7 linked regions of the Macaca fascicularis genome follow. The protein of the gene in region 7 interacts with the protein of the main gene of each other region in a pairwise test. Links are inferred from orthologs where the notes say so. Each region holds a gene or a part of one and is shown on either strand. Other genes may lie near its edges.

Evidence for each region.
Region 1: the proteins of CCNDBP1 (region 7) and IMP3 interact in binary tests that used the Homo sapiens proteins (3 or more experiments, as listed by UniProt). The two-hybrid records come from large-scale screens. The link is inferred for Macaca fascicularis from reciprocal best matches to the Homo sapiens genes CCNDBP1 and IMP3.
Region 2: the proteins of CCNDBP1 (region 7) and PMP2 interact in binary tests that used the Homo sapiens proteins (3 or more experiments, as listed by UniProt). The two-hybrid records come from large-scale screens. The link is inferred for Macaca fascicularis from reciprocal best matches to the Homo sapiens genes CCNDBP1 and PMP2.
Region 3: the proteins of CCNDBP1 (region 7) and AMPD2 interact in binary tests that used the Homo sapiens proteins (3 or more experiments, as listed by UniProt). The two-hybrid records come from large-scale screens. The link is inferred for Macaca fascicularis from reciprocal best matches to the Homo sapiens genes CCNDBP1 and AMPD2.
Region 4: the proteins of CCNDBP1 (region 7) and NANOS2 interact in binary tests that used the Homo sapiens proteins (3 or more experiments, as listed by UniProt). The two-hybrid records come from large-scale screens. The link is inferred for Macaca fascicularis from reciprocal best matches to the Homo sapiens genes CCNDBP1 and NANOS2.
Region 5: the proteins of CCNDBP1 (region 7) and STK25 interact in binary tests that used the Homo sapiens proteins (3 or more experiments, as listed by UniProt). The two-hybrid records come from large-scale screens. The link is inferred for Macaca fascicularis from reciprocal best matches to the Homo sapiens genes CCNDBP1 and STK25.
Region 6: the proteins of CCNDBP1 (region 7) and SYF2 interact in binary tests that used the Homo sapiens proteins (3 or more experiments, as listed by UniProt). The link is inferred for Macaca fascicularis from reciprocal best matches to the Homo sapiens genes CCNDBP1 and SYF2.

What each region holds. Positions count from the first base shown.
Region 1 is NC_088381.1:52,864,690-52,867,893, forward strand, and holds IMP3 (U3 small nucleolar ribonucleoprotein protein IMP3), read right to left. Parts: upstream 1,637-3,204; 5' UTR 1,604-1,636; coding exon 1,049-1,603; 3' UTR 526-1,048; downstream 1-525. UniProt on the Homo sapiens protein: Component of the 60-80S U3 small nucleolar ribonucleoprotein (U3 snoRNP). Required for the early cleavages during pre-18S ribosomal RNA processing. Part of the small subunit (SSU) processome, first precursor of the small eukaryotic ribosomal subunit.
Region 2 is NC_088382.1:91,241,702-91,246,177, reverse strand, and holds the start of PMP2 (myelin P2 protein), read left to right. Parts: upstream 1-1,518; 5' UTR 1,519-1,571; coding exon 1,572-1,644; intron 1,645-3,952; coding exon 3,953-4,125; intron 4,126-4,336; coding exon 4,337-4,438; intron 4,439-4,476.
Region 3 is NC_088375.1:124,719,228-124,723,820, reverse strand, and holds the start of AMPD2 (AMP deaminase 2), read left to right. Parts: upstream 1-1,448; 5' UTR 1,449-1,591; coding exon 1,592-2,193; intron 2,194-2,675; exon of another isoform or gene 2,676-2,929; coding exon of another isoform or gene 2,930-3,182; intron 3,183-4,593. UniProt on the Homo sapiens protein: AMP deaminase plays a critical role in energy metabolism. Catalyzes the deamination of AMP to IMP and plays an important role in the purine nucleotide cycle.
Region 4 is NC_088393.1:53,998,499-54,001,498, reverse strand, and holds the end of NANOS2 (nanos homolog 2), read left to right. Parts: intron 1-847; coding exon 848-1,258; 3' UTR 1,259-2,316; downstream 2,317-3,000. UniProt on the Homo sapiens protein: Plays a key role in the sexual differentiation of germ cells by promoting the male fate but suppressing the female fate. Represses the female fate pathways by suppressing meiosis, which in turn results in the promotion of the male fate.
Region 5 is NC_088386.1:137,451,201-137,455,084, reverse strand, and holds part of STK25 (serine/threonine-protein kinase 25), read left to right. Parts: exon of another isoform or gene 1-26; intron 27-2,251; exon of another isoform or gene 2,252-2,339; coding exon 2,340-2,570; intron 2,571-3,250; coding exon 3,251-3,307; intron 3,308-3,751; coding exon 3,752-3,860; intron 3,861-3,884. UniProt on the Homo sapiens protein: Oxidant stress-activated serine/threonine kinase that may play a role in the response to environmental stress.
Region 6 is NC_088375.1:209,858,758-209,863,340, forward strand, and holds the start of SYF2 (pre-mRNA-splicing factor SYF2), read left to right. Parts: upstream 1-1,617; 5' UTR 1,618-1,654; coding exon 1,655-1,678; intron 1,679-1,908; coding exon 1,909-2,016; intron 2,017-4,583. UniProt on the Homo sapiens protein: Involved in pre-mRNA splicing as component of the spliceosome.
Region 7 is NC_088381.1:19,779,762-19,784,173, forward strand, and holds the start of CCNDBP1 (cyclin-D1-binding protein 1), read left to right. Parts: upstream 1-1,545; coding exon 1,546-1,917; intron 1,918-2,197; coding exon of another isoform or gene 2,198-2,277; intron 2,278-4,412. Other genes in the region: TMEM62 (transmembrane protein 62), read left to right, coding at 341-667. UniProt on the Homo sapiens protein: May negatively regulate cell cycle progression. May act at least in part via inhibition of the cyclin-D1/CDK4 complex, thereby preventing phosphorylation of RB1 and blocking E2F-dependent transcription.

The sequences.
Region 1 (3,204 bases), about 33 Mb from region 7:
GTTATGTGAGGAAGAGCTCTGCCAAAACACTCATTCCAAGGAAGGGACTGGTAAAGTGACAAATTTGCCCAATCCTGTACAACATCCTGCATCCTCCACATCTGGCCCCTGTTGCACATCTCATCCATAGGCAGATCGCTCGCTGCTGACCCTATTCTTCTCTGGGCTCCTAGGACCTATAAATATGACTCTATATAAGAAAACCAGAGTCTGGGCACAGTTTGCTCATGCCTGTAATCCCAGCACTTTGGGAGGCCGAGGCGGGCGAATCACGAGGTCAGGAGTTCCAGACCAGCCTGGCCAACATGGTGAAACCCTGACTGTACTAAAAATACAAAAATTAGCCGGGCGCGATGGCGGGTGCCTATAATCCTAGCTACTCGGGAGGCTGAGGCAGGAAAATTGCTTGAACCCGGAAGGCGAAAGTTGCAGTGAGCCGAGATCGCTCAACTGCACTCCAGCCTGGGTGACAGAGCGAGACTCCATCTCTAGAGAAAATAAAGGAAAACCAGACAGATTAAAAAGTTGCACTTACAAAGCAGTTGGGGCATTTATTGGCATTTAAACAAGGGAGGAGATCCTGAACACTAGTCTCGCTCAGTTTATAAAAACTTAAGGCCAAACTCTCCATCATCTGTACACAGCTTAACCACGGCCAGGAGCAAGAATTGGAGTTAAACGAATTGAACCAGTCCAACTACAAGACTAGATAAAGGGAAACAGGGCGTAGGGATTTGCGGTTTTTCCTTTTAGATTACCAAGTTTCCAACACAAGAAGCCAACAATACCCCAGTGCAGCACCAACTTACTTCCCACTGCTTTCCAAGGCAGAGTCAATTAATAATCAGTAGTCCAAGTTCTAAGAACATTTCCTGGAAAACAAGGACGCATCTCCCGTGGCTCTATGCAAGGCCTGCCACTGATGAATCAAGTTCTTAAGAACCTACGACCATCTGACACCCTTGGGGAAAGCACCCTCATAGAATCTCCAGAATCAGGCCTCAGTTTTCCCATCTGTAAAAGACAGCCATGGAAAGTGGGAGATCCGCTAGGCTTCCAGATCGAAGTCATCGCGCTCCTCATTGTACTCCAGCACGTGCCGCTTGATCTTGGACGAGTCCACCCAAGTGACAAAGTCCTCCATGCTGCGCGTGACAAGGAAGGCGGGGTCGGTAACCACATCAGGGCCCACGCGTACGTGCCCTTGCTCCACAAAGGCTACGGCAGCCTGAAGGTGCTGCGCCATGCGCAGCTTGAGGAGCACGGTGGGAAGGCGGCGGCGGCAAAAGGACGAGGCCGTGACGAAGTCGCAGAGTTCTAGCGAACCGCGCGTGGGCACCAAGCCGAGAGCATACAGCTTGTCCAGCAGCGCGGCCGAAGCGCGCACGCGGAACTGGTCGCGTTCGGGCAGGTCGCGCAGGCGCCGCGCCAGTTCACGGACCGCACGGCTCAGCTGGTTGTAGCGCGTGTAGTCCTCACGCCGCTGCAGCCGGTAACGCCGCAGTACGCGCAGCTCGTGCAGGTTGTGGTCGGTGACCTCCCAGTTCAGGAAGTCCACCTGCTTCAGCAGTTTCTGCTCGTGGAACTTAAGCTTCCGCACCATGATGGCGGCAGCCGCAGCACCAGGACCCGAAGCAGATAGTGCGTTTCAGTACCCGCGCGATTTCCGCCGCGGCGCACCAAGACCTGGACGGTCTGGGACCCTGGGCCAATGAAAGAAAGGCTTAAAGTCACGCCCTCATTTTCCATTGGCCAGGGTGGGACCACGCCCAAGCACTGGGATCTCGCGTTTCTTTTCTGCGCGTTTGCATAGGGAGGGGGTAGAAGCATTGCGCGGGGGGGCGGGTCCCTAGGCGGCTACGCGGGGTTTTTAGTAGCCAAGACTGTATCCCTTTGTGCGGCAATCATTTCCTCCTAGACTTCTGTCCTTTGGGGACTTTCAGAGTCTCCCCCGCAAGAGCTGAAGAGGCCATTTCTGGGGAAGAAGGGTGACTGCGGCTTGTTGATTGGGTTTACTGTGCTAACTTCCACTGGGCTCTTGCCATGCCGTGGGGGAGCTTGCCGGAGCCGGCTGTCCTGGGACTGACCTGGTAGTCCCCGCCTCCCGCCAGCGTCAGGTCCTTCACCTGGCAAGCAGAGCGATCTCTCATTGTCACGTTGGGCTGGGTAGCACCGAACCCATGAAATCCCGATTGCCTGGCCGCTTCCTAAGCGCACATTATAATCGGGATCTATAAGGGAGCCGCCTGGACATCTGTATTATTAACTAAGGTGTCAGATGATTCATAAAACCCAGCAAGTTTGAGAAACTTGGACTATAAGTACAAGTCCAAACCCTTTAGTCTGTGCTCAAATGAATTATCCTGACATAAATTTCTGGCCACCAAGTATTGAGTTAACAAATGTAATGCTGTTTCGGCTAGTTGCAGCTGTAAGTTACATCTGGTGTAGCGCTGCAGACCTAACCCCTTTTTGCCCAGGCATTTAACTTCTCACTGATCATTTTTGTTTTGTATGCTTTTCATTGTCTTTTACAATACAATATTTCTGGGTGGGGCGCGGTGGCACACGCCTGTAATCCCAGCACTTTGGGAGGCTGAGGTGGGAGGATCATTTGAGGCCAGGAGTTCAAGACCAACCTAGGCAAAAAAAGAAAAGAAAAGAAAAGATAAAAGCGAGATCCTGCCTCTGTAAAAATTCTTTTTTTTTTTTTTTTTTTTTTTTTTGAGACGGAGTCTCGCTCTGTCACCCAGGGTGGAGTGCGGTGGCCGGATCTCAGCTCACTACGAGCTCCGCCTCCCGGGTTCACGCCATTCTCCTGCCTCAGCCTCCCGAGTAGCTGGGACTATAGGCGCCCGCCACCTCGCCCGGCTAGCTTTTTGTATTTTTTAGTAGAGACGGGGTTTCACCGTGTTAGCCAGGATGGTCTCGATCTCCTGACCTCGTGATCCGCCCGTCTCGGCCTCCCAAAGTGCTGGGATTACAGGCGTGAGCCACCGCGCCCGGCCAAAAATTCTTAAAGAATTAGCCAGGCATGGTGGTGTGTGCCTGTATTCCTGACTACCTGGAAGGCTGAGGTGGGAGGATCACTTGAGCCCAGGACTTGGACACTGCAGCGAGCTACAATGGTGCCACTGCACCCCAGCTTGCACAACAGAGCCAGACCCTGTCTCAAAAAATATATATATTTAAAAAAAATTCGAT
Region 2 (4,476 bases), on a different chromosome or scaffold from region 7:
CTCACTGTGTATGATTTCACATGTTTTGTTCAGCTTGAACTCTAACTACATAACTGCAATAGTTATGTCACAGCTATGGGACTGGGTTTCCTGAGCCCTTGTTGCCAATGTTTCTACCTGTTATGACCAAATTCATCATATTTTTGTGTTTTTTGTTGTTGTTGTTGTAAACAGTGCCAACCTGTTTACCAAATGTATAAAACTTGGTAAAATCAGTTGTTTCACAGTCAGAATTCATGCTAAGGTTAAAAAAAAAAAAAAAAAAAAAAAAAAACCTGCTAGGAAAGATATAGCAGTAATTAGAGATTCTCAAGAGCAACACTTACGTTCTAAGTGGATTTACATTTGTTCCCCTTGGCCAAAGACTGGGGCTTTGGTGTAATATAGTAGGCTGGATCTTTTGATTTTTTTACCCCACTTGATTTTTGAGAAGAGCAAGAGTGTTTCTAGCCAATCATGGTGCTATCAGCATCAGGTGATCTCTGGCCAGGGCCTCTGTGCATGTAGCATGTATGGTATAGTATAATAGAAGCAGGTTAAGATCATTGTTCAGAACCCAGGCACTGGCAGTAATGTTGGGTTCAGACCCGTCCTCTTCTTATTCAACTTTTGGAAGTAATTTACCTAATGTCCCCAGGCTCATTTTTATCATTGGTAAAATGGATGTAATAATAGTTCCTAACTCTTGGAGTCAGTGATATAATTAAATGAGATCACCTGTATTAAGCACTTAGCACAGTGTCTGGCCCATAGCGAGTTCTGAATATACATTAGTACTCTTTCTATAGGAAATCCTCTTTATAAAATTGTAGATTCATTTTAAATGACTTAAACACAAATGGTTATAGTATCCAGGAACCTGCTTAGTTCAGATTTTAAGTATTTTTAGCTGAAAATCTTTGTTGTGCTCAAAGAACATGTTATAGTGCTACTTCTTGTTTCATCACATGAATACAATTTCTGTGCTCTGCTGCAATAGACTGACTTCTTTGTCTGCCTACTCTGCCTGCCTGGGATATGTGAACTATGCCAAGCCTTCTTACCTATGAATACTTCCTCACACTGCTCCCCTACATTTCTCTCCCACAACATATTTGTGACTGTTATCATAATACTTACAGACATTTTCCTCTTTTTCTTCCCTTTCAATAAGAATTCTTAATTGTGCAGACTCAGGATTGAGAGTGACCGACATGCCTAAACACACACACATTCATTCACGATCACATAATTCATGCAGTCTTTTCCAAAGCATGAAGGGCCTAAGCCTTCTTATAAATGTAAGATCGATCAAAAAATTTTTGAAGATTCAAATAGTAATCTTATTCATTTTATAAATTTTTTTGGAGACAAAAGGGAGTATTATGTGGGGTTTTCTTTTATCCTATTGGGCGGGCAGCTGGCCATTGAAGAGCCATTCATTGCTTAGTCCCGACACTGCCTTTCCCCATTGGCTCTCTGTAAGAGTCACATGCTTTGTGCGTCCTTGAAAAGAATCTTCTCAGGCCTCAGCATCTTATCTGAGTCTCCTGAATCCCACTTAGAACTGTGTTGAGCTCTCACCCATCACGATGAGCAACAAATTCCTGGGCACCTGGAAACTTGTCTCGAGTGAGAACTTTGACGATTACATGAAAGCTCTGGGTAAGAAATGCTTTTTGTTGTTCTGCTGAAAAGCTCCTTTTTGAGAAAGCTACATGACATTTTCATCTAACACCTTTAACAGGAGACGGGGGGGTTTGCACAGGCCGCAGTAATTCCTCTTTTAGGATTAATCTTTTTTGTGTCATTCAGACAATTTATTTGAATTTTATTTGTGGTAACTTTTAATAGACTTTAACTTAAATGAGAGAGCTGCTTAAATGCATGAAACTCCCACTGATTTCAAGGGCAATTTCATACCAAGAGAATTTTGGTTGCAGATCCAGAGGAAAGAAAGCTTAAAAGCATAGTCAACCCATTTTCTGGCTTTTCTGAGAGCTACGTTCATAGCAACTAAAGTGTTCATAAAATAAGGAATTGAATATAATGCAAATCCTAGAAAACCTTAATTTAAAATTTTAATTTTTAGCTAAACTAACAGTTTTTTCTCTCTACCTCTAGGTTGTCCTTTATTACACAATCATGTAGATACAGAGAGTTTGAAAAACAAAAATACTTCCTAAAATACTATGTTCATAGCCTAGGGAAGTTACTGAGAGAAAAAGAACTGGAGTTGTGGCAGTAAACTCAAACTCAATTTCACTATCATCAGACGTTTCTGGAGTTGGAGGAGTGAATGGAGATGGAAAACCGAGTCATTAGTTACAACAACTTTATTTTATACTATTTCTAGAGTATGTCCCATCGATATAAACACAATAGATATGAAGAGTCTTTGGGAATTTTCAGAACTATATGAATATAACAAAGAGTGATGCCAGTGACCTGAGGTTGCTGTGCTTGTCAAAGTGCCTACAGCTTTACTTAACTGTTCAGAAAGCTTGTATAAAATGTTCTATTTTAGATAAAATGAGCAAAGTCATGTCATTGTTGCCTGGAACACTAGGATGAATTCATACTGTGAGACCGGTTAGATTTAAAGACTTCACTTTACAGCTGAGGAAGAAGCCAAATAAAAGAAAGTGTCCGTGAAGGATTCTCTAATTTCATTGTTTTCCAGTTTAGTGTGCAAAATAACACCTTGGGATTTGGTAAATATAAATTCTCAGGCTCGGTCCCAGAGATTACGATTTAACTTGAAAAACATTGTCCTAAACTGTATAAAATAACAAAAGATTAATCAGAATTTGAAGAAAGAATATAGTTTATAGTTTATTGGCTATAACTCTTAACTTCTTATTCAGTATATAAAAATTTGAGATCGTTTTAACTGGAAAAAGTATATCCAAGCATTGAGGCTTCCTGGAAAACTAGTTTTTCTTTCATATTTTTCTATTTGACGTTTTCCTTTTTCCATCTATTTTATAGTCTTGGTAATAATGGTAGTAAACTTAAGAGTCTAATTGTGTTTCATTTTTGAAATGTAGAAGAGTTTTTTAAAAAAAATTTTATCTCTCTATGATCATTTATAATAGTATAGATCTCAAAGGTGGATGGATAGTTGTTTTCCTACCAGCTAGATAGAGAAGTCACAAAATTTCAGAAGTGAGATTCTATCAAAAATATGAGGGGAATACTTCTCCATATCCATAATATGGTATTGAGGGAAAATATCGTGGAACAATATGTATATGCTATAGTCTTATTTTAAAAATATATCTATAGTATTTGTACATGCAAACTAAAATCTCTAAAGTGATTTATGCAAATCTATAATTAGTAATTTTCAATGGGGAATAGGATTGGATGTGATAAAAATAGATGACTTGCACTAGCTATTTCAGCTGGAAACTTTAACTCTTGAAAATCTGCAGACATTGGCCAGGTGCAGTGGCTCACACCTGTAATCCCGGCCCTTTGGGAGGCCGAGGCAGGCAGATCACGAGGTCAGGAGATCAAGATCATCCTGGCTAACACGGTGAAACCCTGTCTCTTCTAAAAAATATAAAAAATTAGCAGGGCATGGTGGCGGGCACCTGTAGTCCCAGCTACTCGGGAGGCTGAGGCAGGAGAATGGAGTGAACCCGGGAGGCAGAGCTTGCAGTGAGCCGAGATGCACCACTGCACTCCAACCTGGGCCACAGAGTGAGACTCCATCTTAAAAAAAAAAGAAAAAGAAAAGAAAAGAAAATCTGCAGACATTACTTTTGGAACAACAAAACCTAAAACGTGTGAGTCCTGGGCATGTATTTCCATTGGGAGTGAAACATGGGAGGAGACACTTAGTAGTAAGTGATATTACCTGCCATCGACACACCTGGGGCACCACTGAGCAAAGGATGTGGCCACCACAGCCTGTTTGGCTATGCTCTCTTGGTCACCATAATTCTAACACTATCTTAATTTTCAGGTGTGGGGTTAGCCACCAGAAAACTGGGAAATTTGGCCAAACCCACTGTGATCATCAGCAAGAAAGGAGATATTATAACTATACGAACTGAAAGCACCTTTAAAAATACAGAGATCTCCTTCAAGCTAGGCCAGGAATTTGAAGAAACCACAGCTGACAATAGAAAGGCCAAGGTAATCTTTAATATTTCTCTTCAAACTTGGCCCAGTGGGCTGCTTGAGAGAGAGGAATATTCCTGCCAGTGCTTAAAAGGATAAACTCCATTCTGTTGAAAAGCAGTGTATCTCCTAAGACATCTATTATGAAAATGGTTCAGTACTGAAAGAACTGCTTCTTTGATCAACAAATTTCAGGCAAGTCAATTGCATGACCTTGTCTTTGCAGAGCATCGTAACCCTGCAGAGAGGATCACTGAATCAAGTGCAGAGATGGGATGGCAAAGAGACAACCATAAAGAGAAAGCTGGTGAATGGGAAAATGGTAGTGGTAAGAGTATTTTTACTTCTAAATAGAGAAATAATGCT
Region 3 (4,593 bases), on a different chromosome or scaffold from region 7:
ATTTCTAGTCCCTTGATTATAAAAGTTATGGGTATGTATTATAATTTTCAAAATGCAAATAAATAAAATATACCCCATAATTCCACCACTACAGATAATCATTGGTAAACTTGTTGGTGTGTTTTTCTACCCATGTATATCACATAAGTAGGACCATTCTGTATATAGTGTTTTGCATCCATTCTTTTACCTAACTTTATATTGTAAACATTTCCACATCATTAAACATTTCTCCAAGAACAATTTTTAATGGCTGTATTTCATGGTATGAATCTTCCATAAACATTCCCCTACTGTTGGGCCTTTAAAGTGTCTAACTTTCCTACGCAATACACATTGTGGTGCTGAGCAACTTTTTGCATACATATTTTTCTGGCAGCTTTTTTTAGAAAAACTCCAGAAAATTGATTACTGGGTCAAATAATAAGAACCTTTTTGAAACTTTTGATTATATATTACCAGATGGCTTTCAGAGAGATTATATCAGTGTTCAAGGCCACCAGTAATGTGTGTGCACACGTACGTGTGTGTGTGTCTCCCATCTCACTAACTATACCCTTGCCACCTGCATTAGTGTTTGTTTTTTTGTTTTTTAGTCTTTGCTATTTTGATAGGTAAACCTGGTTATCTCTGTTCTCTTTTTAGTTCTATGGATTCTGTGTGAGGTGAAGAGGCCAAGTTTTTTTAAGTTTGTTCAGGGAACAGTAGACAGGGATCAATGGAAGTGGCACCAGATGCAGGTGGAGCACAGGGTTCAAAGTCCAGAATCCAGCGTGGGGAGAGAAGAGGCAGGCAGAGTTTGGGAAGGAACTCTGCTGTGGGGGTGGTGAGAACTGGGAGGAGCCAGACAAACAGCATTAGAACAACTGGGTTTGGGGGGCAAAGGCCTCCCACAAGAGGGAAAATAGGGAAGAGATTAATTCCTGCTAATGCATTTAATTATATTCAGTGAAGTCTTAGGGACTTCCCTCCACAAGTTCCCTTTAGGTCGGATTTTCTACCCCTTGGCAGTGGGGATGCTTGTTGGATAGGATGTCTGCAGACCCCAGAACGGCTGTAAGTGAATCAACCTGTGAGTGTCAATAGAGAACCAAGGCCAAGGCTAAAGCAATGGTAATAATAAAAAAGTGCTAACTACAGGCCAGGCACAGTTCTAAGCAGTTAACTTATATTAACTCATTCATCTTAACCACCATATAAAGCAGGTACTCTTACACTCATTTTACGGAAGAAACAGAAGCACAGAGAAGTTAGGTAACTTGCCCAGTATCAGTCAGGAAGTAGGTGAAATCTGGATTTGAACGCAGACATTCCGGCTAGAGTTAAAGCTCTTAACCACCAAATACAGAAATGTGGGAAGGGGAGCCAGAATTGCAGGGCACAGCCTCCTACCTATGCCGGCCGGAAGAAAACAGACGATCAGGTGAGATTGCAGGGGCAGGACTTCTGCTTAAAATGAATCCTGGGACGATAACAACAGCTACCTTTCACTGGGCCCTGACTTCGTGCCAGGCACTATGTAAAGGGACTTTACGTTTAATCTTCACAGTAACCCCTTTGAGTGAGGTACTGTCATTACCCCATCTTACGGATGAGGAAGCTGACGCACGAAACTGGCCCAAGATCAAGGGTCAGCTCAGGCCAGCCCTACCACGGTGTGGCGGCTGCCCACGTGGCGCCCAGGAAGAGAAAAAAATGGCGAGGCGGGGTCGGCAGGCGGAGGCGGGGCCAGGCGGGGGCGGGGCCAAGGGCCGCAGAGCCTGGCGCGGAGCCGGCGAGATTTTCGTGGGATCGCACCTGTTGCGTGACTCCACCACAGTCCGGCCGCGGGAGTCCGACCCTGAATGCCCAGGGAGTGTTGCGAGAAACCTGGACGAGTTCCGGGTCCCGCTCCCTTGGGAGCACGTGGCCTACCCGTCTCTTGATTGCGATTGCGGGGTTGGGTGGTCGCGACACCGGGGTCGCCTTGAGGCCAGTCTGGCTGCCGAGATCTGCGGGAGTCCACCTCCGGCCAGCTGGCAATTTTGAAAGACTGCCTTACTTTCCCCATCTCAGTGCCAGGGCAGGGGCCCTTGGAGTGACTTGGCCGGAGTCTGGGGCCCGACCACCCTGCCCTCTCTCAGGACCCGGGCTTTCTGCTGTGCAGACCCTCGTGGGCAGCCTCCCCTCGGAACTCGGACACCATGGCTTCAGGTGAGTGTGTGTACGTGTGTTGGAGGGAGGGTCTCTGGGACAGAGAAGTGCTGTGGCCAGGGTGACAAGAGGGTGGGAGTCACAGCACAGCAGCAGGACGTAGGGAAGGCGGTCAGCTCTTCCTACGAGGGCCTGGGGAGCAGAGCCAGAGTGTGCAGAGCCAGAGGAAAAATCCGAAGAGGCTAGGGTCTCTGTCCCAGACCCCCAGACAAGGGGGTCTCCTGGCCTTCCTGCCTTCCTAGGAGGTAGCTATTTGGCGACGGTGGAATTTTCCCAAGACAGGCCCCTCCCTCCTGGGCTGGGATTCTCGGTTCTTCCCCCTCCTCCCAGAGCTGAGCTACCCCCGGAGCTGAGGGTCAGATGTGGAAGGAAAGTGGGTGCTGGGTTTTCACGGAGTATGCCAGCCCTGCCCCGGGAGGACTGTGTTTGAGCTTGGACTCACTCGCTGCTGAATTCCTATTTGTTATTCTTTTTTCTTCCAGACTAGCTGGAAGGACCAGCTAGCCTGGACTTTGGCTTCTTTGCCCTGGAGCCCTGGCATAATGGGGTGAGGGCTCTTGGTGGGTTAGTGGAGAGCTGGGGGCTGGCCCTTCCCCATCTTCTTTTCTACCCACTCCCTCCCCCGCCCCCCGCCAAGCCCAGCCACCATCAGTCACGTCACTCCTGGGACTGAGGAGGGAGGGGAGGGATAGGGGGCAGAGATGGAGGCCCCACTCCCCGAGGTTGCCTAGACAACATGAGAAATCGTGGCCGGGGCCTCTTCCGCCTGCGGAGCCGCTGCTTCCTGCATCAGTCACTCCCGCTGGGGGCGGGGCGGAGGAAGGGGTTGGATGTGGCAGAGCCAGGCCCCAGCCGGTGCCGCTCAGACTCCCCCGCTGTCGCCGCCGTGGTCCCAGCCATGGCATCCTATCCATCTGGCTCTGGCAAGCCCAAGGCCAAATATCCCTTTAAGAAGCGGGCCAGCCTGCAGGCCTCCACTGCAGCTCCAGGTGAGTGTGTGCTTCCTGGCCTCAGGATAGATGCTGGGCTCTGTCTTGCCACCTCTCGCCCAAGCTGCTGGTCCCCTCAGAGGAGGCCACCTCCTCTGGCATCCTCTCTGTGGTGGTGCCTCTTAACCTCAGTCCCAGGGACAGCCGGCTTGGAAGGTGGGGTGAGGGGTGGCCGGGGGTGGGGGTGGATCTGAGATATCTGTGCCAGGGATGCTGTCCTCTGTCACAAGGAGTGGGCATGGTGTGGGTGCAGCAAGAGGTGTGTGTGCACACGTGTCAGCGTGTGCATGTGCTAAGACTGCATGTGGAGCATGTGTGAATGGAGTGGGGTGTGTGGGACTGTTTTGTGGACTGGCCACTCTGACTGGTGCCTGTGCCTTTACCAGGCAGGCTCAGGCTGTTCTGTGACTAGTTCCACTTTTTAGGACCCCACATCTAGATCCCCCTCACTGGGGGTCTGACATCTGGGCACAACCATTGTTGGCTGGCATCCCACAACTGGGGGCTTGACTGTATCTATCGTTTGCTATTTGCTCGTTCCTTGTCTATGTCATGAGCCTCCTTAGGAGTATGGGGCGTCCTTGGTCAGGTCTGTGCAGGCTTCAGACTGGGGCTGCTGCCCGCACTGCGTGTGATCCTGCACCCTTTGGTTCGTCTCTCACTCTAGTAAGCATCTCTGCATCATTTGGAGCAGGCAGCGAGGTGCAGCAGCGCCTGTCTCAGTGAGGGCTTGGCTGCCTGGCTCTGTGCTTGCAGAGGGCTGTCTGCCTGCTGTCTGCTCCCAGGCCTTGTGGCTAAGGAAAGACCCACCCTGACTTTGATGACCAGATCATGCTGACTGCCCCCCACCCTTGCAGCTGTCTGTAGCCATAGTCCTACTATCAACCTCCTATATTTTCTTGTTTCATTGAAGATGCCTAGTGCTAGGTCTGTACTGCCCTGAGGGTGTTCTCTGTGCCCAGGTCTGTGCCATCCAGAAAGGGTGTCCCCTGGGTGGGGCCCTCCCTGGCCCTGTTTGGTTCAGCAATAGGGCAACTGATATGGATCTAGCCCAGAACTGGATACCCTTCAGTGGTCAGATGGTAAGAGCATCTGACACTTGTGGGGTCAAAGCCGTGGACACCCCTGTGCCTACTGAGGCAGTCCTGGCAGTGTGTGAGGGGCTCCTGGTTGAGAGGGGAGATGGGGTGCTCAGAATCTCAGAGTTGGTGGGAGTGGCTCTGGAGCGGCCCACTCTGGCTTTTGCTTGACTTCTCTGTAAGTGTGGGTGTATGTGTGTGGTGCTGGCACCTAGAGAAAGGACCAGTAGGCAGCTGAGTCTTCTAGGCCTGGCCTCTGAGAATGTAGAGGTTACTGCCTGTGTGTCACCTTCAGTGAGCCTGTGGCAGCCCTGGAGAGTGGCCTGGCAGGC
Region 4 (3,000 bases), on a different chromosome or scaffold from region 7:
CTGTAATCCCATCGCTTTGGGAGGCAGAGACAAGTGGATCACCTGAGGTCAGGAGTTCCAGACCAGCCTGGCCAATATGGTGAAACCCTGTCTCTACTAAAAATACAAAAAAATTAGCCGGGCTTGGTGGTGGGCGCCTGTAATCCCAGTTACTCAGGAGGCTGAGGCAGAAGAATCGCTTGAAGTTGCAGTGAGCAGAGATCACGCATTGCACTCCAGCCTGGGTGACATAGCGAGACACTGTCTCAAGTAAATAAATAAAATAAATCGGGTCATGTTGTTATTATTATTTTTGTCTGTTTATTTTTGTAGAGACAAGGTCTCGCTATTTTGCCCACGCTGGTCTAGAGGTCTTGGGCTCAAGCGATCCTCCTGCCTCGGCCTCCCAAAGTGCCCAGAGTGCAGGTGTGAGGCACCGCGCCCAGCCTGGTTGCTATGATGATCAGCAGTAACTCTGAAGTCTAGGAAGGGTGTAGCCCCTCCAGCCTAGGGGTGGGGGATATTTGCAGACATGGGCTTTCTTTGAACAGATAGGGAAACTGAGGCACAGAGAGTGGAACTGTCTTCCCAGAGGACACAGAGCACCTTGGCAGCAGAGCAGGGACCAGAGACCAGGGGAATGATCTCCTTCCAGATCTCTGTGAAGAATTAAAGTCAGATAGGGGTTATGGGCAGGGAGTGGGCCCTTTAAATCCTAAGCTCCACCTTTGCTTAGAAGAGTCTCTGGGCATTATAAAAGGGGGTGCAGCTCCCTTCTGCTCTGGGAAACGCCTGCTGCCCTTGCCTACGGGCCCCCAGCCCCAGCCCCTCTCCAGTGGCCCACCACCCCTGTTTTGGTGCCATGCAGCTGCCACCCTTTGACATGTGGAAGGACTATTTCAACCTGAGCCAAGTGGTGTGGGCGCTGATCGCGAATCGGGGGCAAAGGCTGGAGACCCAAGAGACTGAGGAGCCAAGTCCTGGGCCCCCGTTGGGGCAGGATCAGGGGCTGGGAGGATCAGGGGCCAACGGGGGCCTGGGCACCCTGTGCAACTTCTGCAAGCACAACGGGGAGTCCCGCCACGTCTACTCCTCACACCAGCTGAAGACACCAGACGGCGTGGTGGTGTGTCCCATCCTGAGGCACTACGTGTGTCCCGTGTGCGGTGCCACCGGTGACCAGGCCCACACGCTCAAGTACTGCCCGCTCAACGGTGGCCAGCAGTCCCTCTACCGCCGCAGCGGGCGCAACTCGGCCGGACGCAGGGTCAAGCGCTGAGGACCGTGAGATGTCCACCACCCGCACCCCTGACCCTCCTGGTCTGTCCCACCCAAGTCCCTAAACTCTCTCCTCCAGTCACCCAGCCCTTTGGAATTTCTGGCCCCCAGAACTCCACCTTGGCTGGATCCTGAAACAGTGGAGACTCCTGGGAGCCAGGCCAGCCCCGCCCCCTTGGACCTGTCAGCTCTGGGAGCTCTGGCCTGTGGGCGTCCCAGGGTCCTTGGTGCGCGGGAACCCTTCCTGCATGGCCTTGTAGCGCCCTCTGGGCCCCGGTTCATGGATCTTTTGTTCTCGTGGGGCCTGCTGGTGACAGGAGCCCTGCCCCTTCAACTTCTCCGTTCCTTGTGGAGTTCTTGGATTTTTGAACCTCCAGGATTCCACGGTGCTGTCCCAAGCCAGCCCTTAGGAGACACTGAAGAAGGCTGGCTGAGAAGTGCCAACCCGAGAACTTCAAGATGGGATGTCCACTTAACACCAGCCTTCTCCACCTTCACCCTTCTGTAGAACCACGGTGTCATCGTGGACCACACCGGTTCATTCCTTCCCTGACCTCAGCACCCATCCGCCAGGAGCTGAGTGGGACGCTGGAGAGCACCGTGTCACTGGAGGGCACGGTGTCTTCATAGGCTCACCTGCGGATGGAGAGTCATGGGGTGAGCTGACACCTTTCAATGCCCCCTGGTTGTTCTTCCCCTTGTTCAGCCCATTGCACTCGGCACGTGCCCCCATCCCCAAATCACCGATGGGTCCTTTTTCCCAGCAAGAAGCACATCTTTCCACTACCTCCCATCCGACCCCCCAAATCGTGATAGTTGACTAAAGAATATTTTTTTTTCCTCCTGTATTTTTCATCCTCCAACTTTTAAGTCGAGGAACCGCCGATAAGACAGGGGTTTGAGTACCCGGATGGGAAAGGCAACGGCCTAGCTTTTATTTTAGGGGCAAAGAAAAGAAGGACCCCAGTCAGATTTTAAGTTGTTCAGTTTTTGGCACAGGGCTGGGACCCTGAGTATTGAGCTCTGGTGAATAAAAAGGTTTTTCAGTCGTCTTTGAAATGGCTGTATCTGTTTCCGTCTTTGGTTTGTCTGTGAGACAAGGTCTTGCTCTGTCGCCCAGGCTGGAGTGCAGTGGTGCGATCTCGGCTCCCTGCCCGGGTTCAAGTGATTATCCTCCCTCAGCCCCTCCAGTAGCTGGGACTACAGGTGCGCCCCACGAGGCCTGGCTAACTTTTTTTTTTTTTTTTTTTTTGATACGGAGTTTTGCTCTTGTCACCCAGGCTGGAGTGCAATGACGCAATCTCGGCTCACTGCAACTTCCGCCTCTCGGGTTCAAGCGATTCTCCTGCTTCAGCCTCCCGAGTAGCTGGGAATAAAGACATGCATCACCACACCCGGCCATTTTTGTATTTTTAGTAGAGACGGGGCGACCGAGTAGCCGGGACTACAGGTGCGCACCACTACACCCAGGTAATTTTTATTTTTGGTTTTTGTTTTTTCTTTATTGAGGTGGAGTTTCGTTCTTGTTGCCCAGGCTGGAGCGCCAACGGTGCAGTCTTGGCTCACTGCATCCTCCAGTTCCCGGGTTCAAGCGATTCTCCTGCCTCAGCTTCCCAAGTAGCTGGGATCACAGGTGCCCACCACCGCGCCCAGATTTTTTTTTTTTTTTTTTTTTTTTTTGTATTGTTAGTAGAGATGGAGTTTCACCATTTTGGCCAGGCTGGACTCGAACTCCTGACCTCA
Region 5 (3,884 bases), on a different chromosome or scaffold from region 7:
AGGGATGTGTAGCAGCATGTTTCAAGGTGAGGGCCTGTGTGCCGCCCCTTCCACCCTCCTGGTTGCAAACCCTGGGAGGTCAGCTAATTGGCAGTTTCACAAGGAAATGTCGCCTTGGGCTGGTGCAATGTCCAGTTGGCTTCAACCAACTCCTCTGCTGGGCTTAGGCCTGGGATGGACCCTGCACACGTGTCCAGGGGGTGAGCGTGGGGGCTGTATGTGGTGTACCCCATCCTTGGAGGGCACGGTCTCCCCAGGCCCAGGAACGTGGAGGGCACCCCCATCCAAGGACCCGTCCTGTCTTCAGCACCAGAATGAGTTGGGCCTCAGTGTTTTGGGGGCATAATTAGTCGTTTTGCCTTTTTTTTTTTTTTGAGACGGAGTCTTGCTCTGTCACCCAGGCTGGAGTATAGTGGCACGATCTTCACCTCCCGGGTTCACGCCATTCTCCTGCCTCAGCCTCCCAAGTAGCTGGGACTACGGGCGCCCGCCACCACACCTGGCTAATTTTTTGTATTTTTTAGTAGAGATGGGGTTTCACCGTGTTAGCCAGGGTGGTCTTGATCTGCTGACCTTGTGATCCGCCCGCCTCGGCCTCCCAGAGTGCTGGGATTACAGGCGTGAGCCACTGCGTCCAGCCCGTTTTGCCTTTTTATGCTGTGCCACACTAAATTGGCATCAAGACCCTTGATGTTGTGGGGGGAGGGGCCGTGCATGGTGGCTCACACCTATAATCCCAGCACTTTGGGAGGCTGAGGTGGCAGATCACCTGAAGTCAGGAGTTCAAGACCAGCCTGGCCAAGATGGTGAAACCTTATCTCTACTAAAAATACAAAAAATTAGCTGGGGGTGGTGGTGCATGCCTGTAATTCCAGCTACTTGGGAGGCTGAGGCAGAAGAATTGCTTGAACTCAGGAGGCAGAGGTTGCAGTGAGCTGAGATGGTGCCACTGCACTCCAGCCTGGGTGACAGATTGAGACACCATCTCAAATAAGTAAAAAAAAGTATGGAGGCCTGAGGACACACCTCTCCTGGCTTCCCCTGGACTCTGGGCCTGGGTCACAGACCAGGCACCTTCCACACCGGTGGCTCAGAAACTTTCAGGCGTTGCTTCTTTAAATCTGAGGACTGTGGGAGGCAGTTTTCTGCATCAAGAAAGCATCAGTTTCTGACCCGGCGCTGGTGTACTTGTCAGGAGGACTTACGGAGGGGTGAGGGAAGCCCTTTCTAAATATGTGGCTTTTAGGAGTGAAGGAGAGCTTGGTTAACACATACCGAGAGTTTTTTGTTTTTGATGAGTTTTTGTTTTTTTTTTTTTAATTTAAAAATTTTTTTTGAGACAGAGTTTCACTCTTGTTGCCCAGGCTGGAGTGCGATGGCCTGATCTCGGCTCACCACAATCTCCACCTCCTTGGTTCAAGCGCTTCTCCTGTCTTGGACTCCCAAGTAGCTCGGATCACAGGCATGCGCAACCACACCCGGCTAATTTTTTTGTATTTAGTAGAGATGGGGTTTTACCATATTGGTCAGGCTGGTCGTGAACTCCCGACCTCAGGTGATCCATCCGCCTTGGCCTCCCAGAGTGCTGGGATCTCAGGTGTGCACCACCAAGCCTGGCCTGTTGAGCTTATTTTTTAATAGTTTCAGATTTATAGCAAATTAAGAGCTCCCAATCCCCTAACCCCCAGGGGCTATTAACCTATTAACATCTCTCATGGGGCTGCATGGTAGGTTAGATGAGGCAACCTTCATGCCTTGTCATCACCTAAGGTTCCTGTTTCCAGCAGGTTCACTGAGTTGGCCTGGCCTCTTTATACTTTCCGGGGACTTTTTCCCTTGCGTGGAGAGTTGAGTTTAGGTTTAGGCTTTTTTTTTTTTGGAAACGGAGTTTGATTCTTCTTGCCCAGGTTGGAGTGCAATGGTGCGGTCTTGGCTCCACTGCAACCTCTGCCTCCTGGGTTCAAGCAATTCTCCTGCCTCGGCCTCCCAAGTAGCTGGGATTACAGGCATGAGCCACCACGCCCAACTAATTTTTTCATATTTTTATTAGAGATGGGGTTTCACCATGTTGGCCAGGCTAGTCTCGAACTCCTGACCTCAAGTGATCCACCTGCCTCGGCCTCCCAAAGTGTTGGGATTACAGGCGTGAGCCACTGCACCCAGCCAAGTTTAGGTTTTAAACAAAAAGGGGTAAAGGAAGAAACCAGAGAAGAATTGAGGCGCACTCGCTCGGACTCCCCCTTCCCTACAGGTCCCTTCCTCCCCAGCAGGGCAGCCTCTGCCTGTCCCAGCCTCTCGTGACCGGCACTGTCTGCCCTCTGTCCCCACCGGCCCCTCAGCACTCTCGAGTGGACCCTGAAGAGCTCTTCACCAAGCTTGACCGCATCGGCAAGGGCTCGTTTGGGGAGGTCTACAAGGGCATCGATAACCACACCAAGGAGGTGGTGGCCATCAAGATCATCGACCTGGAGGAGGCCGAGGATGAGATTGAGGACATCCAGCAGGAGATCACCGTCCTCAGCCAGTGCGACAGCCCCTACATCACCCGCTACTTTGGCTCCTACCTAAAGGTGCCTGTTGGGGGGAGGCGGCGGCGGCCCTGCTGGTGGTGTGCCCGGCCCTCTCTTCCATGTCAGAGGGACTGAGTGACATGCCAGAGGGTGCAAGGCGGCCTTGACAGTTCAGTGCATGCCCTCCAGGAAATTGCCCTGGGCAGGCAGGGTGCGAGCAGGGTCCACGAGGGTCATTCGGCTCTGAGTGGCCATTGGGACCCACTTGCCTGCCTGTGGTAATGCAGTGAGGGTGCTGCCAGGAGCACTCTGGGGCGCCCCTGCTGGCAGTGGTGAGGGCCTGTGAGGAGCAGGTTTCTGGTGGTGCCAGGGTCTGGGGTGTAGGGAACGCTGTGGCCATCCTGCCCAGGAAGATGATGGGTGTGTTGGGCCATGTGCTTGCCAGCCATGCCCTCTTCCCAGCCCTGTAGGACTGGCTCAGCAGCCTGGCTTTTGACGGGGTCTTGGTGAAGTAGACTTAGCCACTGTTCTGTGTACTCAGTCCGTCCTCTGAGCATCTGTAGCAGCAGTGTGGCAGGCGGGGAGATGGGCAAGGCCGAGGGAGCCCCTTCCTGTTTAGGGTTCTTGGCAGGGATGGGACCGGTGGGGCCTGGGCCCTGGCTGACTCCGGCCTGACTCCCACCCTGGAGCATGCCCTTCCTCTCACTGCCAAATGCTGATGGGTTTGTCTCCGGTCCCAGAGCACCAAGCTATGGATCATCATGGAGTACCTGGGCGGCGGCTCGGCACTGGACTTGGTGAGGCATAGGCCATGGCAGTGGGGGGTCATGCAGTGTCCGAGTCCCCTGCTCCTCAGACTCATGGGCTCCAGGGGCCACCTCTCGTTTGGTGTCATGGCACATTAGGTGTTAATTACGAATCGTCTAAAGCAAAAATGAACTGCCATCCGCACATCTGCCCAGTTGGTGCTGAAAGGGGTCCTGGCCTGTGGGAGTGGGCGGGGGCAGGCACGCTGGGAGATGGTTGGGAGCCTGTTTTTCTGTTACATGACAGTAAAGCGAAGCTGGTTTATATGCTTTAGACCACCCCACTCCCGTCTGAAAGTTGTGTTTGAGAAGTAAAGGAACATGAAGCCCCCGGCTATCTGCAGGGACAGCCCTCCCCTGTCAGAGAGACAGGAGAACTCAGGCATTGGGCCTGGGACAGGAGCTGAGGCCCTGCTGTCCCACCTTCCTCTCCAGCTTAAACCAGGTCCCCTGGAGGAGACGTACATTGCCACGATCCTGCGGGAAATTCTGAAGGGCCTGGATTATCTGCACTCCGAACGCAAGATCCACCGAGACATCAAAGGTCCTGCTGGGGGTGAATGTGGCT
Region 6 (4,583 bases), on a different chromosome or scaffold from region 7:
AGTGACAGTACTAAAAGTGAGACGGTAGTCAGGGAAGACCTGCCTCTTTTTTTAAAACTTTATTTTTATGTCTGGGCACGGTGGCTCACGTCTGTAATTCCAGCACTTTGGGAGGCTGAGGTGGGCGGATCACGAAGTCAGGAGTTCAAGACCAGCCTGGTCAACACGGTGAAACCCTGTCTCTACTAAAAATACAAAAAGTAGCTGGGCATGGTGGCAGGCACCCGCAATCCTAGCTACTCGGGAAGCTGAGGCAGGAGAATTGTCTGAACCTGGGAGGCGGAGGTTGCAGTGAGCCGAGATCAGTGCCATTGCACTCCAGCCTGGGTCACAGGGCAAGACTCCGTCTCAAACAAACAAAAACCACACACACACACAAACAAAAATTCTTTTTATTTGTATTATTTTTTAATTTAGAGACTGATTCTCACTTTGTTGTCCAGGCTGGTCTTGAACTCCTGGGCTCAAGCAATCCTCCCGCCTCGGCCCGGCAATTTGCTGGGATTGCAGCCATGAACCACCACACCTGGCCAAGACCTGCTTCTTGGAGAAGGTGACAACATGCTAAGCTCTAAACGGAAAGAACTTTCCACTTACGGGAATGAATGGCACTACAGGTTCTTCCTGCCCACTACAGACAAAACCAATTCACTGAGAAGTGCTACTGCAGTATAGAGTTGTATTAATGTGACGCTGGCCTCAGGGAAGAAGGGTTACCACTCAAGTAAGTTTTCCTGAAGGGTCAGCCCAGAGGTTAGTGTTTTTCAGCTGGTTTGGTGTGGGCAGAGCAACAGGGAATGGGTGCTGCTGATTGGTTGGAGATGCAATCATAGGGGTGTGGACTACACTCCTCAACAGCTGAGCCCGCCTCTTGGGGGAGGAGTGGGGCAGAGGAAGCGGTTGGGTCATGAGTCACGAGTCCAGGTGGGGTCACTTAGTTGCCAGAATGCGAAAGTCTCAAAAATGCCTCAAAAGACCAATCTTAGGTTCTACAATAACGACGTTACCTACAGGAGTAATTGGGGAAGTTACACATCCGATGTCCTCCGAAACAATGGCTGGTTATCGTTTACTACATTTTAGCAGAATTCGCCCCTCATATACCTAACCTCCCGGTCTTTCATTAATTTCATAAAGGCAGTTTCAGCCCCCGAACAAGGCGGGGGACTGTTTAAGGGAGGGACTATGCTCATCCTTGCTTAAAAGTTAAACTATAAATTCTCCCATGGTGAGCTTGGTTTATGCCCAGGAATGAGCGAAGACAGCCGCCCTGCGAGGCTAGAAGCAAGTTGGAGTGAGCCATGTTAGATTTCTCTCACTCTTTGAAAAGGCGGTTTCCAGGAACAGCGTTCAGAGTAGGGGAGTTTCTATTAGACTCCTTTTGGTCATTTTTTTCTAGTCCTCCGATTCTGAGCTCTTCCCAACCCTTTTCTTGGCCACTCAACTCCCGCTGTCCTTGCCCACGCGGATTCTCGCGGCTGCGCGAGACCCTGCCCATCCAAAACGTTTCACAGCTAAAGGGTCCCAACTTCCGGAGGCCGCCCGGAAGGGGCGGGGCTTATGGTAGCTCATTTGTACGCATCGGCCCGGTTGTCTGAAGGCTGACGGAAGTGCTGTATGTTGTTGCCGGAAGTGGGAAGAGAGAAAGGTTGTGATGGCGGCTGTCGCTGCATCCGAGGTGAGTTCGAGCGACTCTACACCGGGGGTTTTGTTGGTGAGGGTTCCGGGGAGCGGCCTGGAGAGAGGTGGAGGCGAAGTCTAGTTTCGCTTCAAGGAGGCTCAGACACTGGGATCAAGTCGGCCGTGGAGGCCCTAGGCCCAGCCTGTGGGGACCGGCGGGGACTCGGCCTGGGCCGTCCTGGGAGAAGCCGACCTGGCTCTGCCTGAAGCCAGTTCTCTTTGCCGCAGGTGCTGGTGGACAGCGCGGAAGAGGGGTCCCTCACTGCGGCGGCAGAGCTGGCCGCTCAGAAGCGCGAACAGAGACTGCGCAAATTCCGGGAGCTGCACCTGTTGCGGGTGAGTAGTCTTGGAGGCCGGCTCAGATCCGTCACCTGGCCAAGCCTTTGCGCTTTTGTAGAGGGGACGAGGAAGCCACACCACTGCGTCTGACAGACCAACAGAGCAGGATCATCTGAGAGGAAAGCTCTGTTCGGTGGTACTCAACCCTGGCAGCACATGGGGATCGTTATGAGAACTTTTGAAAATATACCTGTTCACTCTAGCCCCCCTCCTACCCACATCCAATTTAATGTATCTGGGTTAGGTTTGCGAGTCTCCATTACTAACAACCTCCCTGCTCTGTGATTCTAACAAATTCTTCATTTTACCTAGGGAAATATGTAGAGCTAGAGACAGGAAGAAACTTGTGTCAGTAAGAGACCTGGTTCACTTGATTTAAAAAATAATCTTCTATCAGAATCTGTTTGAAAAGGGAGAAAATAATCATCTGTCTCTAGGACTTCTGGGGGAAAAGAATAAAAAGAAAATTAAAAAAATAATGGGAAACCTTTGAAAGTCTACAGCGTGGTAGTTCCCTGGAAGTGCAGAGGAGGAGAGATGAATGCAGTTTGTGGGTCTCCAGGGGGTGCCTCGTAATAGGTGACACCTAAACTACTGTTTGAAAGCCAGACAACTAAAGGAGTTAGAGAAAGATAATCCAAGCAAAGGGAACAAATTCAAAGAAAATTTGTATTAGGGATAAGAGTCCAGCAAATAGCTGGCTGCAGTTGGAGCTGAGAAAGAGAAAAGCAGCCCCTATTTCAGCATGGAGTGACCTGACAGGCCATGGGTTCACAAAACCCCAAAATCACTCTGACTGTTGTAGTGAGACAAAACAAAGAAGACTTCTTGAAGCACAAGAATGACCACGTATTTCTTTATTCTGGCTAACACCAGTGACAGTTATTACCAAATACAGCATTAGTCTCCGTTACTTCTGCCTCCTATATAAAAATTTAAGATACCTAATTGTAGAAAGCCTCTGCTTTCTGACAGTACTCAATCCAGATCCTTAACCCTCACCCCAGCCACCTGATACAAACCCAAATCCTGGAACGAGCCCCTGCTAACGCCCTTTCACTCAAATGCCCACAGTTCCCCGTGGTTTGCTCTCTTCTTCTATGCAACAGACTCAACTTTGTTGACCATACGTGTGTTCTTGTTGTCTTTAATTGCAGGACTTTTCCAGAGCCAAGAATATACTAGGGATGGTAGTTGGGAGGAGTCTCTCTCTTTGCCTAGGGAAAGTTAATCTAATAAACAATTAAAAGGACATGCTTAAATATTTAGAGTGATTGTGTAAGGAACACATGTTTGGAAATTAGGAGGCAGGGCTTCATGGACAAACTGCCACCAGCTTATGACCTAAGAAATGTCTAACTTAAGTTTTCCTTAAGATGATATACTCATTTTGTTTTATACAATTAGGTTTATTTAAAAATAGACACCTCTCCCCGCTACCCCAAGCTTCAAAAAAAAAAGACTCTTCAATGGTACTTCAAATTCCTTTCATTTTTCATTTGCCAATGTAAACTGTGAAAATATTTTTAAAAGGAGGGGAACTTGGAAAGCATTAGAGGCATTAAGATAGGTATTAAATCCTCTAACCCAAATTGAGGCATTTTTCTTGAATCAGGATTAAAAGATAATTGAGGCCCGGTGTGGTGGTGCATGCCTGTAATCCCAGCACATTGGGAGGCTGAGGCGGGCAGATCATTTGAGGCCAGGAGTTCGAGACCAGCCTGGCCAAACTGCAAAACCCTGTTTCTACTAAAAATACAAAAAATAAGCCAGGCATTGTGGCACATGCTTGTAATCCCAGCTACTTGGGAGGCTGAGGCAGGAGAATTGTTTGAACCCTGGAGGCGAAAGTTGAAATGAACTGAGATGCTCCAGTATACTCCAGCTTGAGTGACAGAGTGAGATTCTGTCTCAAAAAAAAAAAAAAAAAAGAAAGTGTCTTTCACATCATGTGATGTAATTTTGTTTTTTGAGGTGTCTTGCTCTGTCACCCAGGCTGGAGTGCGGTGGTGCAATCTTGGCTCACTGCAACCTCTGCCTCCTGGGTTCAAGTGATTCTCCTGCTTCAGCCTCCCGAGTAGCTGGGATTACAGGTGTGCGCCACCATGCCTGGCTAATTTTTGAATTTTAAGTAGAGACGGGGTTTCGCCATGTTGGCTAGCCTGGTCTTGAACTCCTGACCTCAGGTGATCCACCTGCCTCAGCCTCCCAAAGTGCTAGGATTACAGGCGTGAGCCACCGTGCCTGTCCGATTTAATATTAATGCCAAATAAAGTCTACTTAAGTGCCACTATAGTATGGTCCCCAATGTTGCAAAACCTTGTTCTGATCCAATAAAAAGGGACCACACAACTCAATAGAGGCAAAGCTGATTTTAACCCCCAGGGCTCTGGAACAGCAAACCAGTGCAACTCAACACATTTTTCTTGATTACATAAAAATGTAGACCCTATTAGGCCATTCCCTGGCTTAAAATACTATGATGGCTGGCTGTTGCTTTTAGGATAAAATGGGGTCACCTTATTAATATGTCCTGCCTGACCCTCCTCAAAGAAGGCAAAATG
Region 7 (4,412 bases):
TCCACCAAAAAAGAGGGGTTGTTGTATGTGTGTGTATACATTTACTCAGTTCAATTCCAGCTTAACACCACTGAGTATTAACTGTGTATATGATACTGTACTACAAGTTGGGACTTCAACATAAATTAAATGATACCCGCCTCTAAGATGAATAAAAGGACATGGGCAAATACACAACTAGCCACAAGTCAGCTGTTGTGTTATAAGCAACTGTGCTTGAAGTAAATTAGCTAACCCCAAGACAGAAAGCAGCATATTCTTAGGATCCACTAATGATGCATTATTAAGACCAAACTCTTCCAAGGACTTGGGAGTAAGCTATGGCTCTGTTCTTTTCCAGCTGGCATTTTTTAACATCCCCTTGATGGCTTACATGTGTTGGAGCTTGCTGCAGCGGTGCTTTGGTCACAACTTCAGGTCTCATCTCCATCAAAGAAAATACTTGAAAATTATGCCTGTTCACCTACTTATGCTACTGCTGTACATCTGGCAGATTTATTCCTGCTACTTTCTTTATGCGACATACGGCACCCTAGCTTTTTTATTCTCCCCTTTGCGGACCTGGTTGACACTGCTGACACCTGTTCTCATTCGTTGTGTGTGGACACTGAACTCCGCCAAGCTTGGAATCTTCATGGTGCAGTTAAAAAGCCACCTGAGCTCCTGAAGGCCATGTCTCACCACTGGCAGCTGGGCAGAAGCCCAGCCTCTGTGTCTATAGCCTAGGCCTCTACCCCAGTAGCAGGCGGAGGGCCAGTATTGGTGCGTGAGCTTTAGGGAGCTGCTGCTCGTTTGGACTCCTGGATGTTGGAGGGATTACCCACTACTGATACCTGCAGAATGGACTGCAGAAAAGTCTCAAAAATAATGCCTTTATTCCTTCCCTCCTCAAGGAGGCAAAGAGTTGATTTATCTTTGTGAAGAGAAAACCCTTATCTAGGACACCCACAGGGTAGGGGTTGGGTGTGTGTACGGGAGTGTCTGAGGCCCAGTGTGTTTTTTAGGGGTTACCCCATGTAAAGCACCTACCGCTGTGCTTGAAATTCAGCAGCTGTCAAAGGTGCAATTTCAAGGGCAGGGAACCTTTGAGGATCTGGGCCCGACCCTGACCACGGCTGAGATTAGTTCCCAGGCCTGTTTTCCCGCAGGATTGTGGGCTCTCTGCTTCCTTAGTCGGAAGTGTTTTCAACTAATCAAATAAATGAATGAATGATGAATAAGAAAGACCGTGAGCCTGAGCCTTGCTCGTGTGGCCTCGCTTAAGGGGCGAGAGAAGGCGTGGCCTGTCCTGGCCTCTGGGATGGTTGGTGCTGGACCTCTGGGGACAGGGCGGGGCGGGAGGAGGCGGGGCCAGGCCTGGTCTCATAATGGGATGGGTGGTGCTGGACCTCTGGGGGCGGGGGCGGGGCTCTGGGGCGGGGCTGGACGGCTTGTTGCCGGAAACGAGCCATTGACGCTGTGGCCCGGAAGTGGAGCGGCTGTCGCAGTGCGGCTCCGGCAGTGGTGGCGGAGGCTTGTGTTTGCGGCCTTCGGCAAGCGACTGAGATGGCGAGCGCAACTGCACCTGCAGCCGCAGCCCCCACCCTGGCTCCACCTTTGCAGCAGCTCCGGCACTTGGCGGAGGAGCTGCGGTTGCTCCTGCCTCGAGTGCGGGGTGAGCTGACGGAGTTGGAACGCGCGACGGCAGGGGCGGGCTCGGGGAGAGGCCGGGATCGGGGAGAGGCCGGGCTCGGGGTCGCGGAGAGGGCGGGCGGGGGCGGCGGCGGCGGGGAGCCAGGCTCGGGCGAGGGAGGTAGGTCCGCTTACCTTAGCTTTTCCACTCGCCACCATTCGGCCCCCACACGCCACACCCGCAAGTCGGCGAAGCCCAGGAGACCACCGAGGAGTTTAATCGAGAGATGTTCTGGAGAAGACTCAGTGAGTGCGCCTCCTGTCCCGGCTCCCCTTGCCTCAGTTCCTTCAGCGTCCCGACCCCTTTCCCTCTCGCTCTCCCCCAGGGAGGGGACTGCCCTCCCCTGCTGCATCCTTTCTGTGAGATACCTTACCCACCTCAGCACCTGAGAGGGTAAACTAGAATTCTAACATCGACATTCGGGAGGTGTTTTTGAGAAGTCTGGGTCGGTAAGGGAACGCGTATCTTCCAAGTCCGTGCAGCGCTAATGTATTGGCACCTGCCTTCTCTTCGGCCACCCCCCAGATGAGGCAGCTGTGACAGTGTCAAGGGAAGCCACGACTCTGACCACAGTCTTCTCTCAGCTTCCACTGCCGTCTCCACAGGTGGGCTTCACTTTCCTGGAATCCTTGGGCTGCCGAGTTACACCTTAGGAATCCTCTAATTTTCTTTCCACCTTTTACACGCATGCCAGGAGATTTGTTTTCTTCGTCTGTCCAATGAGGTTACCGTTTTTTACTTCACAGGCTTGTTGTGAAGACCGAACTGCCAAGTGCATTTCCTGGCGCGGAGTAGGCAGGTCTTATAAATATTGGTTCAATCTGAAGTTCACCCTGGTGGTTTCTTTTCTGATAATTTTTTAAGCACTTTTTATGTGCTGGGTGTTTTCACATACTTGATGGCCATCTGACAGATGAGCAAGCAGGCTCAGAAGCTCAGGTTAAGATTTAAAAAAAAGCAGGGGAGCTAGAATTTAAATCAAGGTCTATCTGATGTCTAAGGTACACCTATTCTGTTATACTACATAATACCCTTTTTATATTATTTTTTATATTTAATCAGTAACCTATGCAGATAGTATAAAATTCAAAAGATATCAAAGTTAAGTGTGTTAAGTTTATCCTTCCATCCACTTTCTCATTTTTGTCTCCCCCAGTTCCTTTTGCATTATTCCACATACATTCTGTACATATATACATTCATAAACATTTATCTTGTATGTGTCAGCTTCTTTTTACACAAATGGTAAGATACCATAAACACTGTTCTGGACCTTCCTTTAAATAAATTAACAATAGAGCTTAGAAATCAACTCTTAGCAGCTAGTATAAAGTTGTTCCGTTCTTTGTAATGACTGCATGGTATTCAATAGACTAGATATAAACATAATTTAACCATACTCTATGTGGACATTTAAGCTGTTTCCAACTTAGAATTACTGCAAACAGTGTTGTGATGAATTACGTAATTCTGTGTATGTATGTATATCAGTAGAAAAAATTCCCAGAAGTGGAATTGCTAGAACAAAGAATTTATGCGTTTTAAATATTCCTTTATTATTAAACTAATGAAAGTAAACATGTTGGCTGTGACCACGTATGCTCTATGCTTAGTTTTTTCTAGAGCTGTGTATCCTTAATATGGGAGTAAGATTCTTTTAAAATGGCATATTCATTGCCTTATTTGATTTTCATAGTCAATAGTTTTAATTTCTCAGTCTACATATATAGGTGTTTGGAAAGAATATAGGTATCTTCTGCTGCATGTACCTACAGTGATAAACTCTCTCCTCCTCACATACCTTTGAGATTTTTTTTTTTTGAGGCAAAGTCTCACTCTGTCACTCAGGCTGAAGTGCAGTGGCACAGTCTCGGCTCACCGCATCCTCTGCCTATGCGGTTCGAGCAGTCCTCCTGCCTCAGCCTCTCGAGTAGCTGGAATTACAGGCACCCGCCACCATGCCTGGCTAATTTTTGTATTTTTAGTTGAGACGGGGTTTCACCGTGTTGGGCAGGCTAGTCTCGAACTCCTGACCTCAAGTGATCTGCCTACCTTGACCTCCCAAAGTGTAGGGATTACAGGCATGAGCCACCGTGCCTGGCCTACCTTTGAGATTTGTGATGAGGAAACAAGAGATGAATTGTATGACGGCACTTTAAAAGATTCATGGAAAATGGACTATTTCAAAAAGAATAGTTAATATTATCTTATTTTTCTTATCTGCTAACCCCTTTCTTTCAAATACACTTAGGACTTGCTGCTAAAACTCACTGCAAGTAAGATACCACAAGGAGGCAGCATAGAACTGATTTTCTATACATGCTCAGGACAGTAGTTTCACTCATAGATGAAAAATTAGAATTTGGATTTATTTGAAATATATACAAATATTCAAGTATATACATATATTCAAATAAATACATATGTGTATATATGTGTGTATATATACACATACATACACATGAATCATCATTGCCTTCTTGAGATCTCACCACTTTAGTCCTACTAAAAGATGGGTGGTTTTTTTTTGTTTGTTTTTTTAAAATTCCAATCTGCATGGAATGATACTTTAATAAAATTATGTGCTTGGATGTTGAATAAATGTCAAATTACCATAAAAGTTTCTAAACACTCTCAGTCACTGTCCTTATCTTATCCCTGACTGGTCACAGTTTGTAGACTGGCTCCAACCTGGACCACATTTGTATAGTATTGACTTAGAATTTAAGTCAATTGAGGA